2 linked regions of the Stegostoma tigrinum genome follow. The protein of the gene in region 2 interacts with the protein of the main gene of each other region in a pairwise test. Links are inferred from orthologs where the notes say so. Each region holds a gene or a part of one and is shown on either strand. Other genes may lie near its edges.

Region 1 (6,260 bases), on a different chromosome or scaffold from region 2:
GAGCTTCGAGAGCTTAGTAAAGACACGCATCAACTCCAGCCTCCCAGACTGCATTGGACCACGGCAATATGCTTACCATTGCAATAGGTCCATGGTAGACACCATTTCCTTGGCCCTAAACTCATCCCTTGAACATCTGGATAACAAGGACACCTACACATCAGGCTCCTATTTGACTTCAGCTCCGCCTTCAACACCATAATTTCAACCAAGATAACAAGGTGTGGAGCTGGATGAACACAGCAGGCCAAGCAGCATCTTAGGAGCAGGAAAGCTGATGTTTCAGGCCTAGACCCTTCACCAGAAATGGGTGAGAGGAAGGGGGTTCTGAAATAAATAGGGAAAGAGGGGGAGGTGGATCGAAGATGGATAGAGGAGAAGATAGGTGGAAGGAGGCAGAGGCAGCGGAAAAACTGCTCAATATCCAAATGTGACTGGTATTCGTTAATGTGTGGGTGGAGGGGGACAAAGATGAGCCTTTTACTGAGGACTGACCGTTCGTCCTCAGTAAGGGGGAGATCTAGGGGGCTGGTAAAGGCTCGGCAGGGCTCAGTGTTGCTGTATCCTCTGGAGCTGCTAGCTGTGGAGACTGTGGGTGTAGCGATGGCCTGCTGTGTTCATCCAGCTCTACAGCTTGTTATCCTGGATTCTCCAGCATCTGCAGTTCCTAATATCTCTGATATAATTTCAACCAAACTCACCTCTAAACTCTAAGACCTAGGTCTCTGCTACTCCTCTCTGCAACTGGATCCTTGACTTCCTGGCCTGCAGACCGCAATCACTAACAATAGGTGCTAACAACACTTCCATGATAATCCTCAGCACTGGAGCTTCATAAAGCTGTGTATTCAGCCCTTTATACACAAGACTGCATGGCCAAATTCAGCTCTAACTCCATTAATAAATTTGCCGATGACATCATTGTAGTGGGTCAGTTCACAAACAGCGACAAGGCAAATTAGAAAAAAAGAGAAGGACAGCTTAGTGGCATGGTGTAACAATAACAATGTTTTCCTCAATGTCAGCAAATAAAGGAGCTGGTTATTGACTTCAGAAAGTGGAGTGGAGGATACACCCCTTTCTGTATCAATGTTCCTGAGGTGGGGATGGTTGAAAGCTTCAAGTTCCTAGGGGTTAATATCACCAACAATCCATCCTGATCCATCCATGTGGACAGTATGGTCAAGACCAACACTTCTACTTTCTCAGAAGGCTAAGGAAATTCGGCACGTCCACAATGACCTTGACCAATGTTTAATTAATGCACAATAAACCATATTCTTTCTATCTGGATGTATCACAGCTGGGTATACAAGTACTCTGCCCAAGGCTGCAAGAGATTGGAGTGTTGTGAACGCAGCCCAATCCATCACAAAAACCATACACTCCTTGCCTTGGGAAAGCAGCCAACATCATCAGACACCCCTCCCACTCCTGTTATACTCTCTCTCATCCTCTTTCCTCAGGCAGAAGTTTAAAAACATGTACCAGCAGATTCAAGTACAGCTTCTTCCTTGCTGTTAACAGACTTATGAATGGATCTCTCATATATTAGAGTTGATTTTTCTCTGCAGCTGTAACAATACATTCTGAATTCTGTTCTATTACCCTGACGTATTATGTAAGGTACAATTTGTCCGAATAGCACACACAAAAGAATATTTTTCACTGTATCTTGGTACATGTGACAATAATAAATCAACAGTTGTCTCATTAAACATTCCCAACGTATCTACATCATGATTTGGGTACAATGTTCCTTGTCTACTGTCCCATCTATCACTTCCGGGACAGATTAAATACTGACTAAAGCTAAACCTCCACCTTCACAAACCAAATACTCCCAGGGTAGCATAGGTTATATTATGCTGTGAACTTGATGACTCTGGTAGATTTAAAAACAGGATTAATGCATATATGAGGAATAAGGACTGTATGTAAATATAAAATCTGACACTGACCAGATGAGCCAATTAGCCTATTTTTCTGTTGCGGATTCTGTACAATCAGGTGTCAATGGTTGCAATGACAAGATGTAACTATCGGTCCTCAGAGATGATATCAGTAATCCAATAGGCAGCACTGACACTCCCACACAATCTATTCAACAACAAACAAAGTTTGGAAATCCAGACATTTGTAGGAATTACATCACAGAAACTGGCCATTCAGCCCAACAGGGCACCCTGCTCCACATTCAGCAGGTTTGGCAAAACCCGAGGCAACAGAAACAAGAGTTAATGTTTCAGGTTGATGACTGAATCCTAACGAAAATCGTCGACCTGACACTTTTGGTCTCCACAAATGCTGCCGGATCTGCTAATATTTCCAGCATCCACAGTATTTCGTTTTGAATCTTAATAATTCTTAATAATTCAATTGCAAATAATTTAAACATTAAACTTCGTCCGATTGCAATCCTGTACAATATTGATCAGCAGAGGGGATAGATTGGGTTAAATATAATTCAGAGTACAATCTTTCAGCAAGCAAAAGAAAACTACAATTCCCACACTTCCGAGCGGCCAAAATGGACTACAGCTCCCAGGTTGCCGCACGCCTGCTACCTCTAGCTGGGCTGCAGAGGAACAGGCAGGCCCAAAGCGCTCCTCGGCCCCAACCCTGGGACGGAAGAGCCGATCAATGCTTCATGTTGCACCTGAACAGTCGAGTAGAAGGGGATATCTTTCCAACACCCTCTACGTAGGTATTTTAACTCGGCCACCTTTCCGCAAACACCACCCGGAAAGCGACCACTTTGGACGCACGTGGGCCCCTGGGTGAGGAGTTTTATTTGGACAACCATTTGAGGGAAGGGGAGTGGGAAGGAGTGATCGGAAATTTGGTTTCCCCCTGTCCCTCCTTTAACCAGCTCAGGGAACGTGGCTGCAGCTCTTCCCACGTGGATGCATTTGGAACCTCCGAATGTATCCATTCCGCTTTGGAATGTTGCCTGGAGCCGCCGCGTTCCAAACCCCGAATCCACGTGGAACCCGTCCTGGCCGCTGCAGCCCCGTCACTCAGCAAACAGTAGCAACAACACCGCATGCCCCCCTCCCTCCTGGGGCTCTGCAAGCTCCTCCATGCAGACAGCAGATGGAGCCTCGCTTGTTAGTAGCAAAAGAAAAATGAGATATATATAAAATGTATAAATGGGGAGAGAAAAGTACACACCTACAGAGACCTCCTATCACTTCTTTCTCACTCTTCCTGAAATCCTGGAATGAAGGTACCTTTTGAGTCGGCACCACGAAATATTCCATGTCTTGCACCTGGTGAAAATAATTGTGCACAAATAATAATAATCGCCTTAAATAAAAGGCTGGCTGAGTTCTGGTTCTCTGTGTGTGTTTCCAGCTGATCGCTCTATCAGATGGTTGTAAATGGCGGGAAACAGCTGGTGCCTTCGCAGCACCGCCGCCTCCTTCCGCCGGGACCGGGATTGCATGTAAACAAAGGACTATGCGCCAGTCCTGGCCGAGCCCCCGGACAGGGTGCAAGCAGAGTCCGGTTTGCTTCTGCAAATTAGAAAGAAGGACGCTACCGGGGCCAACTGAGAGGGGAGGAAATGGGCAGTGGTCCGTTAAAGGTGGGTGGGGGGATATGTTTCTGCATACGCCACTACGTGTGTGGGGTGAAGCGGCTCATCAGCTGACGGGCTGGCAACGCCGAGAGGAAAAGCAACAGCTTCTGTGACATTGGAGCAGCTGAGAACACAGAGAGGCGCAAATCCAACCCCCGCCCGCCCACTTACTCCAACTCTGCTTTAAAGAGACACCACATATCATCTTGCACATTTCAAGGCAGCAATCAGGTCCTATTTTACCTTTGCCTTTTACCAAGTGTACTTAAGAGAAAGCTTCGATCTTGACCAGTGAGGAACGGACTGCCGGGGAATTCAAGGGAATGCAACACAAGCCCGAGAATTCCAATGTTAAAATATTATCGGCTTCTCTATCCTTGGAGCACCACAGAAAACGACATTTTTTTTCCTCTGAAAGGAATAGAAAATTGCAGAATTCATCCTGCCTATGAACACAGGGTAGGCGTGATGCTGCCCACCTACCACAAAGAAAGAATTGCTCAGAAAAAGTAGGATAAAGTGCCTGCCAAGCAGGTAGCCACAAAGTTCCATGCCATTGTTTCCTTTCGTTTGGACAATTCGAAGTGGGATTCAGTCATTTTTTTTGTAGCTTTTCAAATCCTAGGGTATATCCTCATTATTAGGGCAGTGGGCAGATTGACTAGATCTCGTCCTCCTTGCTAACAACACGCCCACCCCCACATCATCATCAAATACTTGTGTGGGAATTACTTAGTAAGCAACACTTTGATTAAAATTACAGATAGCAATTTTGTGACAGGATTACAAATCTATCGTTGCTACAGTATTTTGCATTAACATAGCACCGTTAAAGGCCCAAGGCAGTTTATGGAACGTTATGGAATAACATTTCATAATGAGGCACATAACATTATATTAGGTCAGATGACCTAAAATTGTGTTGAAGAGGTAGACTTTAAGGAGTGATTAAATGTGGGAAGAAATAGTAGAGAGGCAAAGGTTTATGGAGGGAATTCCAGAGTTTGAAACATATAGATAACCTTCTTAAATTTCCTAGCATATTCCTGGCTAAACCAGCATAGGCTCTCCATCCCTAACTGTGCTGGAGAAGCTGCTTTCTCAAACTCTTGCATCCTTAGGATGGGTATACTCACAGTGCTGTTAAGGAAGAAGCTCCAGGATTTTGAAGGAGCAATAGTATTCTTCCAAGTCTGGATGGTGTGTGGTTTCAATGGAAATTTACAGTTAGTGGTATTCTTATATATCTGATGCTTGACCTTTCTGTTGATAGAAATCATAGATTTGGAAGGCAGACTCTCTAAGAGTGGAGACCGGAGTGATGACAATCTGGAATTTCAAAAAGGCCAGGATCTGTGCTAGGAAGGGAGGTAATTAGAGAGCTTGAGATGGGATACACTTCATGGAATGGTTGAAAAAGACAAGAAGTTTCATATCGGTGTTATTTGGTGAGTGGGACTCAACTCTGCCATGTGTGCCAGAACTTTGAATGATCTCAGGTTTATGGAAGATAGAACATTGACAGCTGGTAAGAAGTGCATTGGGATAGTCATCAGGCAAAGTTATTCAAGTGGAAACAGGCGGTTGTAATGACGGTATAGGTGCACAGTAAGAAGCTCTTTTCAGTGATGTGAAACATTCAGTTAGTGAACAGTCTAGTTCCACCTGAAAAAAGGGAAAGAGCTGGAGTTGGTAGGTAGAAAAAGCAGCTTGTGTTGGAAAACAAAGATACTCACCATCACCTTGCCAATATTTAACTGGACAAAATAACTGCTTACCTGGTTCTGGATGTCCGAATAGCAGCCGGATGATTTAGAAATAGAGGAGGGGCTAACAGGTAGAGCTTAATGTCATCAATGAACATATGGAAGTTGACACCATGCTTTTGGATAACATTACCAATGAACAAATGAGAAAAAGAAAGGGTTGTGATGTTGATGAGGGGCATATCTGTGGAATATTAGGATGAAGAAATGTAACGGTTCTAGGGAAAGAGACAAGCTTATGAAAGGTCAAGAAAGTGTGGCTTAATGAATTGGTGGCTGTTGAGATATTGTGATTATTTAAAGGCTTAAGGTTGGATAGTTGGGAATTTGAGCTGAGGAGATTGTACAGGCATTGGTGGTGATCTTTCAGGAATCACTGGAATCAGTGAGGGTCGTAGAGGACTGGAAAATGACTCATGTAACTCCCTATTTAAGAATGGAGGGAAGCAGAAGACAGGAAACTATAGGTCAGTTAGCCTGACCTCAGTTTGGCTTACGTGCCTAGCAGAGGGGAATTCCTGGAAGCCTGGCATTCTGACCAGAACTCCATCAACTAACAAAACGTCTGCAACTAAACACACCGGCTCGGTGAGTGAGTCTACAACCTCATCCACAACCCGAGCTACACATCTTCCCAAAGTCTTTTTCTTGAGCCCTTTCTCAATTCAAGACTTTCTGACTCTATATCATTTCTTGTCATCAATGAAATTTCATTTCTTACTAAAAGGCAATCCTGCCCATCTGCTTATCCTTTCAATATGGTGCATGTCCTTGGATAAGACCATAAGACATAGGAGTGGAAGTAAGGCCATGTTAGTACCTAATATACAAACCATTGAAAAACAGAACCAGAATTGATGCTAACCAGCCCAGCCAACTGAGCCATATGAATAACCCCGGGACAGAACACC
Region 2 (6,260 bases):
TCATAGTTCAAGATACAAATATAGCAGTGACATTCCTCGTAGGATCATTCCATTGTTCGAACAAACATTCTATCACAAAAGTTCACTACATTTAATTTTTTTTATTTAATGTTTAAATTAAAATTTAATTTTTTATTATGAGTAAAAATGACAGCGATTGAGAAACAGCCTACCAGAAATTTTCTGTAGTATTCCAAAGGCTCGACCATTCTGAAAAAAGGAGGGAAAATAATCCAATGTTACATTGCATCGTTTAATAATTAGTGTTAAAAATATTTTAAATACATTTTCATGACACGTCACACCCTAAGCATCACTCTGCACTCTCACCCACCACCTCACAATTTCTCACCTTCCCCCATTCTGTGTCCCCCTTTCTCAGACCCTCCTTCCCCCCATACCCATCCTCTCCCCACCATTCTCATTCTCTCACCCATCCACTTTCCCCATTCTCTCCCCCTTCCCACATTCTGTCTTTCTCTCCCTCTTCCCCATTCCCATTTTCTCCCCTTCCCACCATTCTCTCTCATTCCCTCCCCCTTCCCCATTCTCATTCTCTGTCCCTCCTTCCGCCCCCATACCCATCCTCTCCCCACCATTGTCTCACCCCTCCCCCAAATCTCATTCTCTCACCCCTCACCCTATTCCCATTCTCTCTCCCTCTCTCTCTCTCCCCCCACCATTGTCTCTTGTCTCTCTCTCTCTCCTTCTCCATTCCGTTGTCTCTCTCTCTCCCCTTCTTCCCCTCTCTCTCTCTCCCTCCCCTCCATTGTCTGTCTCTTCTTCTCCCCACCATTGTCTCTCTCTCTCTCTCTCTCTCTCCCCCCATTCTCTCTCTCTCCCCCCCATTCTCTCTCTCTCTCCCCCCCATTCTCTCTCTCTCCCCACCATTCTCTCTCTCTCTCCCCCCCATTCTCTCTCTCTCCCCACCATTCTCTCTCACTCTCTCTCTCCCCCCCATTCTCTCTCTCTCTCTCTCCCCCATTCTCTCTCTCTCTCTCCCCCCCCCATTCTCTCTCTCTCTCTCTCCCCCCCATTGTCTCTCTCTCTCTCTCCCCCCATTGTCTCTCTCTCTCTCTCCCCCCATTGTCTCTCTCTCTCTCCCCCCCATTGTCTCTCTCTCCCCCCCATTGTCTCTCTCTCTCTCTCTCTCTCTCTCTCTCCCCCCCATTGTCTCTCTCTCGCTCCCCCCCATTCTCTCTCTCTCCCCCCCATTCTCTCTCTCTCCCCCCCATTCTTTCTCTCTCCCCCCATTGTCTCTCTCTCTCTCTCCCCCCATCGTCTCTCTCTCTCTCCCCCATTCTCTCTCTCTCTCTCCCCCCATTCTCTCTCTCTCTCCCCCCATTCTCTCTCTCTCTCCCCCCATTCTCTCTCTCTCTCCCCCCATTCTCTCTCTCTCTCCCCCCATTCTCTCTCTCTCTCCCCCCATTCTCTCTCTCTCCCCCCATTCTCTCTCTCTCTCCCCCCATTCTCTCTCTCTCTCCCCCCATTCTCTCTCTCTCTCCCCCCATTCTCTCTCTCTCCCCCCATTGTCTCTCTCTCTCCCCATTGTCTCTCTCTCTCTCTCCCCCATTGTCTCTCTCTCTCTCCCCCTATTGTCTCTCTCTCTCTCTCCCCCCCATTGTCTCTCTCTCTCTCTCCCCCATTGTCTCTCTCTCTCTCTCTCTCTCCCCCCATTGTCTCTCTCTCCCCCATTGTCTCTCTCTCTCTCTCCCCCCATTGTCTCTCTCACCCCCCCATTGTCTCTCTCTCTCTCTCTCCCCATTCTCTCTCTCTCTCCCCCCCCATTGTCTCTCTCTCTCTCTCTCCCCCATTCTCTCTCTCTCTCCCCCCCCATTGTCTCTCTCTCTCTCTCCCCCATTCTCTCTCTCTCTCCCCCCCCATTGTCTCTCTCTCTCTCTCTCCCCCCATTGTCTCTCTCTCCCCCATTGTCTCTCTCTCCCCCATTGTCTCTCTCTCCCCCCATTGTCTCTCTCTCCCCCCATTGTCTCTCTCTCCCCCCATTGTCTCTCTCTCTCCCCCCATTGTCTCTCTCTCCCCCCATTGTCTCTCTCTCTCCCCCCCCATTGTCTCTCTCTCTCCCCCATTGTGTCTCTCTCTCCGTCTCTCCCCCATTGTGTCTCTCTCCCCCTATTGTCTCTCTCTCTCTCTCTCCCCCCCATTCTCTCTCTCTCTCCCCCCATTGTCTCTCTCTCCCCCCATTGTCTCTCTCTCTCCCCCCCCATTGTCTCTCTCTCTCCCCCATTGTGTCTCTCTCTCCGTCTCTCCCCCATTGTGTCTCTCTCCCCCTATTGTCTCTCTCTCTCTCTCTCCCCCCCATTCTCTCTCTCTCTCCCCCCATTGTCTCTCACTCTCTCCCCCCCATTGTCTGTCTCTCTCTCCCCCCCATTGTCTGTCTCTCTCTCTCTCCCCCCATTGTCTGTCTCTCTCTCTCTCCCCCCATTGTCTGTCTCTCTCTCTCTCCCCCCATTGTCTGTCTCTCTCTCTCTCCCCCCATTGTCTGTCTCTCTCTCTCTCCCCCCATTGTCTGTCTCTCTCTCTCTCTCCCCCCCATTGTCTGTCTCTCTCTCTCTCTCCCCCCCATTGTCTCTCTCTCTCTCTCTCTCCCCCCCATTGTCTCTCTCTCTCTCTCTCCCCTCCTTTGTCTCTCTCTCTCTCTCTCCCCCCATCTCTCTTTCTCTCTACCCCCATTGTCTCTCTTCCCCCCAATCGTTTCTCTCTCCCCCCGTTGTCTCTCTTTCTCTCTCTCCCCCCGTTGTCTCTCTCTCTCTACCCCCTATTGTCTCTCACTCTCTCCCCCCCATTGTCTCTCACTCTCCCCCCCCATTGTCTCTCACTCTCCCCCCCCATTGTCTCTCTCTCTCTACCCCCTGTGGTCTCTCACTCTCCCCCCCATTCTCTCTCTCTCTCCCCCCATTGTCTCTCACTCTCCCCCCCATTGTCTCTCACACTCCCCCCCATTGTCTCTCACTCTCCCCCCCATTGTCTCTCACTCTCTCCCCCCCATTGTCTCTCTCTCTCCCCCCATTGTCTCTCTCTCTCCCCCCCATTGTCTCTCACTCTCTCCCCCCATTGTCTCTCACTCTCCCCACACCATTGTCTCTCGCTCTCTCCCCCCCATTGTCTCTCACTCTCCCCCCACCATTGTCTCTCGCTCTCTCCCCCCCATTGTCTCTCGCTCTCTCCCCCCATTGTCTCTCGCTCTCTCCCCCCCCATTGTCTCTCGCTCTCTCCCCCCCATTGTCTCTCGCTCTCTCCCCCCCATTATCTCTCACTCTCTCCCCCCCATTGTCTGTCTCTCTCTCTCTCTTCTCCCCCCCCCCATTGTCTCTCTCTCTTCTCCCCCCCCATTGTCTCTCTCTCTTCTCCCCCCCCCATTGTCTCTCTCTCTTCTCCCCCCCCCCATTGTCTCTCTCTCTTTCCCCCCCGTCCGTCTCTTTCTCTCCCCCTCCATTGTCTCTCTTTCCCTCTCCCCCCATTGTCTCTCTCTGTCTTCCCCCCTCCCCCCATTGATTGATTGATTGATTGATTGATTGTTTGTTTTTTTTTTCTGTTTCTGTGTGTGTCTCTCTCTCCCTGTCTCTCACTCACTTGAATCCAGCCGCCATCCTTCTCGGTCTCTCTGAACCATGTGAACCTGGGAACTGGATTCGCAGATTCCGCGGAGAGGCCGGAACGGTTGTGAGCCTCTTTCCCTCATTGGACTACGCTGTATTTTTCCCTGCTTCGACTCCTGTAATCCCCGCTCTGTCTACGGCCAATCCCTTTCATGGGGTTTATTTTCTTATTTTTAGTTTAGTGTGGAATGTGCAGAACGGAAATGAAAGCCATGTGGCTGGTTGGTGCAGCATGATGATTGACAGCTGCAATCCGCATCTTCAGGAAACAATGTCTTACAGCTCGCATTCACCAGTCTGTATACATCTCATTGGCTTTTAAAATATACTGCATATCTAATTATGATTAAATTATACATTGTATTATTTCTAAAAATATAAATTTATAATATATCCTTTATAATGTATATTTTATAATACCTAATATTTTAAAGAGTCGGTGGTAATATAACTCACGAAGAATTCTCCAAATGTAGTCATGAATTGCGCTAAAAGTGTTACAGGTAATGCTGACAAATCATCTCAGTCCCAAGATATCTCTACAGGACTTCTTCAGGTAGTGTCCTGAGCCCAACTACCTTTAGCAACTTTTATCAAATACCATTCCTCCCACATATGGTCAAAGTGGAGTTGGTCCCTGGTGACTGCATGATATCATTTGAAATCGGACATGAATTGAATTGAATTAGGTTTTTGTCACATTACTCTCATGAGTACAATGAAAAATTTACAAGTATCCACATAAAGCACCATTTTAGGTACAAACGTACAAAGGTACCAACTCTTGGGTATAAAGCAGAAAAATATGAAAAACAAAGTTATAAAGTTAAACATTGCAGTTCTTCATGCTAAAAAGGGATGAGGAAACAAAGAAACATGTTAACAGTTCAACACCACGGTCCACAAGTACCTGGCCATGCTGGACTCACACTCCCCACAATGGCTTGACCCCCGCCCCCGGCTCTGAACACCCATTCTCACCCCTCGCCACCTGCTTCTGCTGTCGACCCCAGCCTCTTTTGGCTGCCTGCTCTAGGAGATGGATGTTGCAGGTTTTGAAAGTACAGTTGATGGAACCTTGGCAAATTGTAGCAGTGCGTCACATAAACGCTGCTGCCACTGTGTGACAGTGATGGAAGGATTGACTGTTTAAGGCAATAAACAAATTTTAAAATGTATAAAGCAATACCATTTATAAACAAACATTCCACACATCTAACTCTTATTAATATTGTTGTTTGAGTTGCTAACCAAGAATGTTGGTGTTACGGTCATTGGATCTCACTATTATTTTGGCTTACCATTGACCAGAAACTGAACTCTACATATTTTGCTACAAGAGCAGATCAGAGCCTTGGAATTTTGCAGTAAAGTATCCACCAAATCCTCAGGCCAGTCCACCATTCGTCAGCCTCAAGTCAGGGGTGTGATGGAATATTCTCAATGTTTCCTTCACCGTTGCTGGAATGAAATCCTGAAAGTTCCTCTGTAACGGATTTGTGGATGTACTGGTTGCATGATCTGCAGCAGTTTAAGGTGACATCTGGTCACCACCTTTTCGAGGGTAACTTTGGAAACACAATAAATGCTGGATTGTTGGTGACACTTATATGAAATAACAATAGTACAAAGCTATACCCTTTGTAAACAAATATTCCACACATCCAAGCTTACAAAGTGAAAAATGCAGGTACTACATTGTTGTTTGAGGGAATAACTTTGGCATTAACATGTGGAGTGGATGATGCCCGAATATTGTTTATGTCAATTTAAGAGCATTTGGAACGAGTTGAGCAGTTCTTTAAAGTTTCAACTCATCAGGAGTACCTTCCTGGGCATTTTATTACCGTATGTAGTGTAGCTACAGCATATGGGAGCTGGCAGATACCAATGTGACCCATATATCCATATCCTCAGGTGTTGCCTGCAACGTGAGGATATCAGTTGTCTGGAACTTAAAACTTAAAACAGATAACAAGAGTGTTTAAAAATATGCAAAAAGGAAGACTAACTTAAAATAAATATTGGCTCTTGGTCCCTTAGAAACAAAGAAGGAAAAAATATCATGGGAAATGAGGAAATGGCAAAGAAAAATATTTTGTCTCAGTTTTCTCTCTGGAAGACACCAGTTACAAGCAGAAATAGTAGGAATTGCAGATGCTGGAGAATCCAAGATAACAGGGTGTGGATAATAAAGTGTGAAGCTGGATGAACACAGCAGGCCAAGCAGCATCAAAGGAGCAGAAAGGCTGACGTTTCGGGTCGACGACACTAATCTGAAGAAGGGTCTCGACCCGAAACGTCACCCCTTCCTGCTCCTATGATGCTGCTTGGCCTGCTGTGTTCATCCAGCTCTACACCTTGTTATCTTACGAGCAGAAATAATGGGAGGTGAGGAACAGATGCAGAAGGAAAAAGGAGACTGGCACAGGGGATCTGAAATAGAGTTGATGCTTCCTAGGGGAATGGACGGACACAGGGAGCTGGGAAAAAGGGAAGTCCAAGGTCAGCAACGATCACACCGACAGACCCGCGCTGCATATGGATTCCTCCTGCTCCGCTCACTTCTTCACCTCTTCGCCCAAGGTATGGGAGCCTAAAAGGAGGGCACGGGTTTAAGGTCAGAGGGGAGAGATACAAAAG

Evidence for each region. The genes of interacting proteins can lie anywhere in the genome.
Region 1: the proteins of exosc8 (region 2) and tfap4 interact in binary tests that used the Homo sapiens proteins (3 or more experiments, as listed by UniProt). The two-hybrid records come from large-scale screens. The link is inferred for Stegostoma tigrinum from reciprocal best matches to the Homo sapiens genes EXOSC8 and TFAP4.

The regions. Positions count from the first base shown.
Region 1 is NC_081376.1:33,230,587-33,236,846, forward strand, and holds the start of tfap4 (transcription factor AP-4), read right to left. Parts: upstream 3,649-6,260; 5' UTR 3,264-3,648; coding exon 3,175-3,263; intron 2,344-3,174; exon of another isoform or gene 1,962-2,343; intron 108-1,961; exon of another isoform or gene 1-107.
Region 2 is NC_081359.1:85,239,621-85,245,880, reverse strand, and holds the start of exosc8 (exosome complex component RRP43), read right to left. Parts: upstream 3,805-6,260; 5' UTR 3,609-3,804; coding exon 3,592-3,608; intron 211-3,591; coding exon 174-210; intron 1-173. UniProt on the Homo sapiens protein: Non-catalytic component of the RNA exosome complex which has 3'->5' exoribonuclease activity and participates in a multitude of cellular RNA processing and degradation events.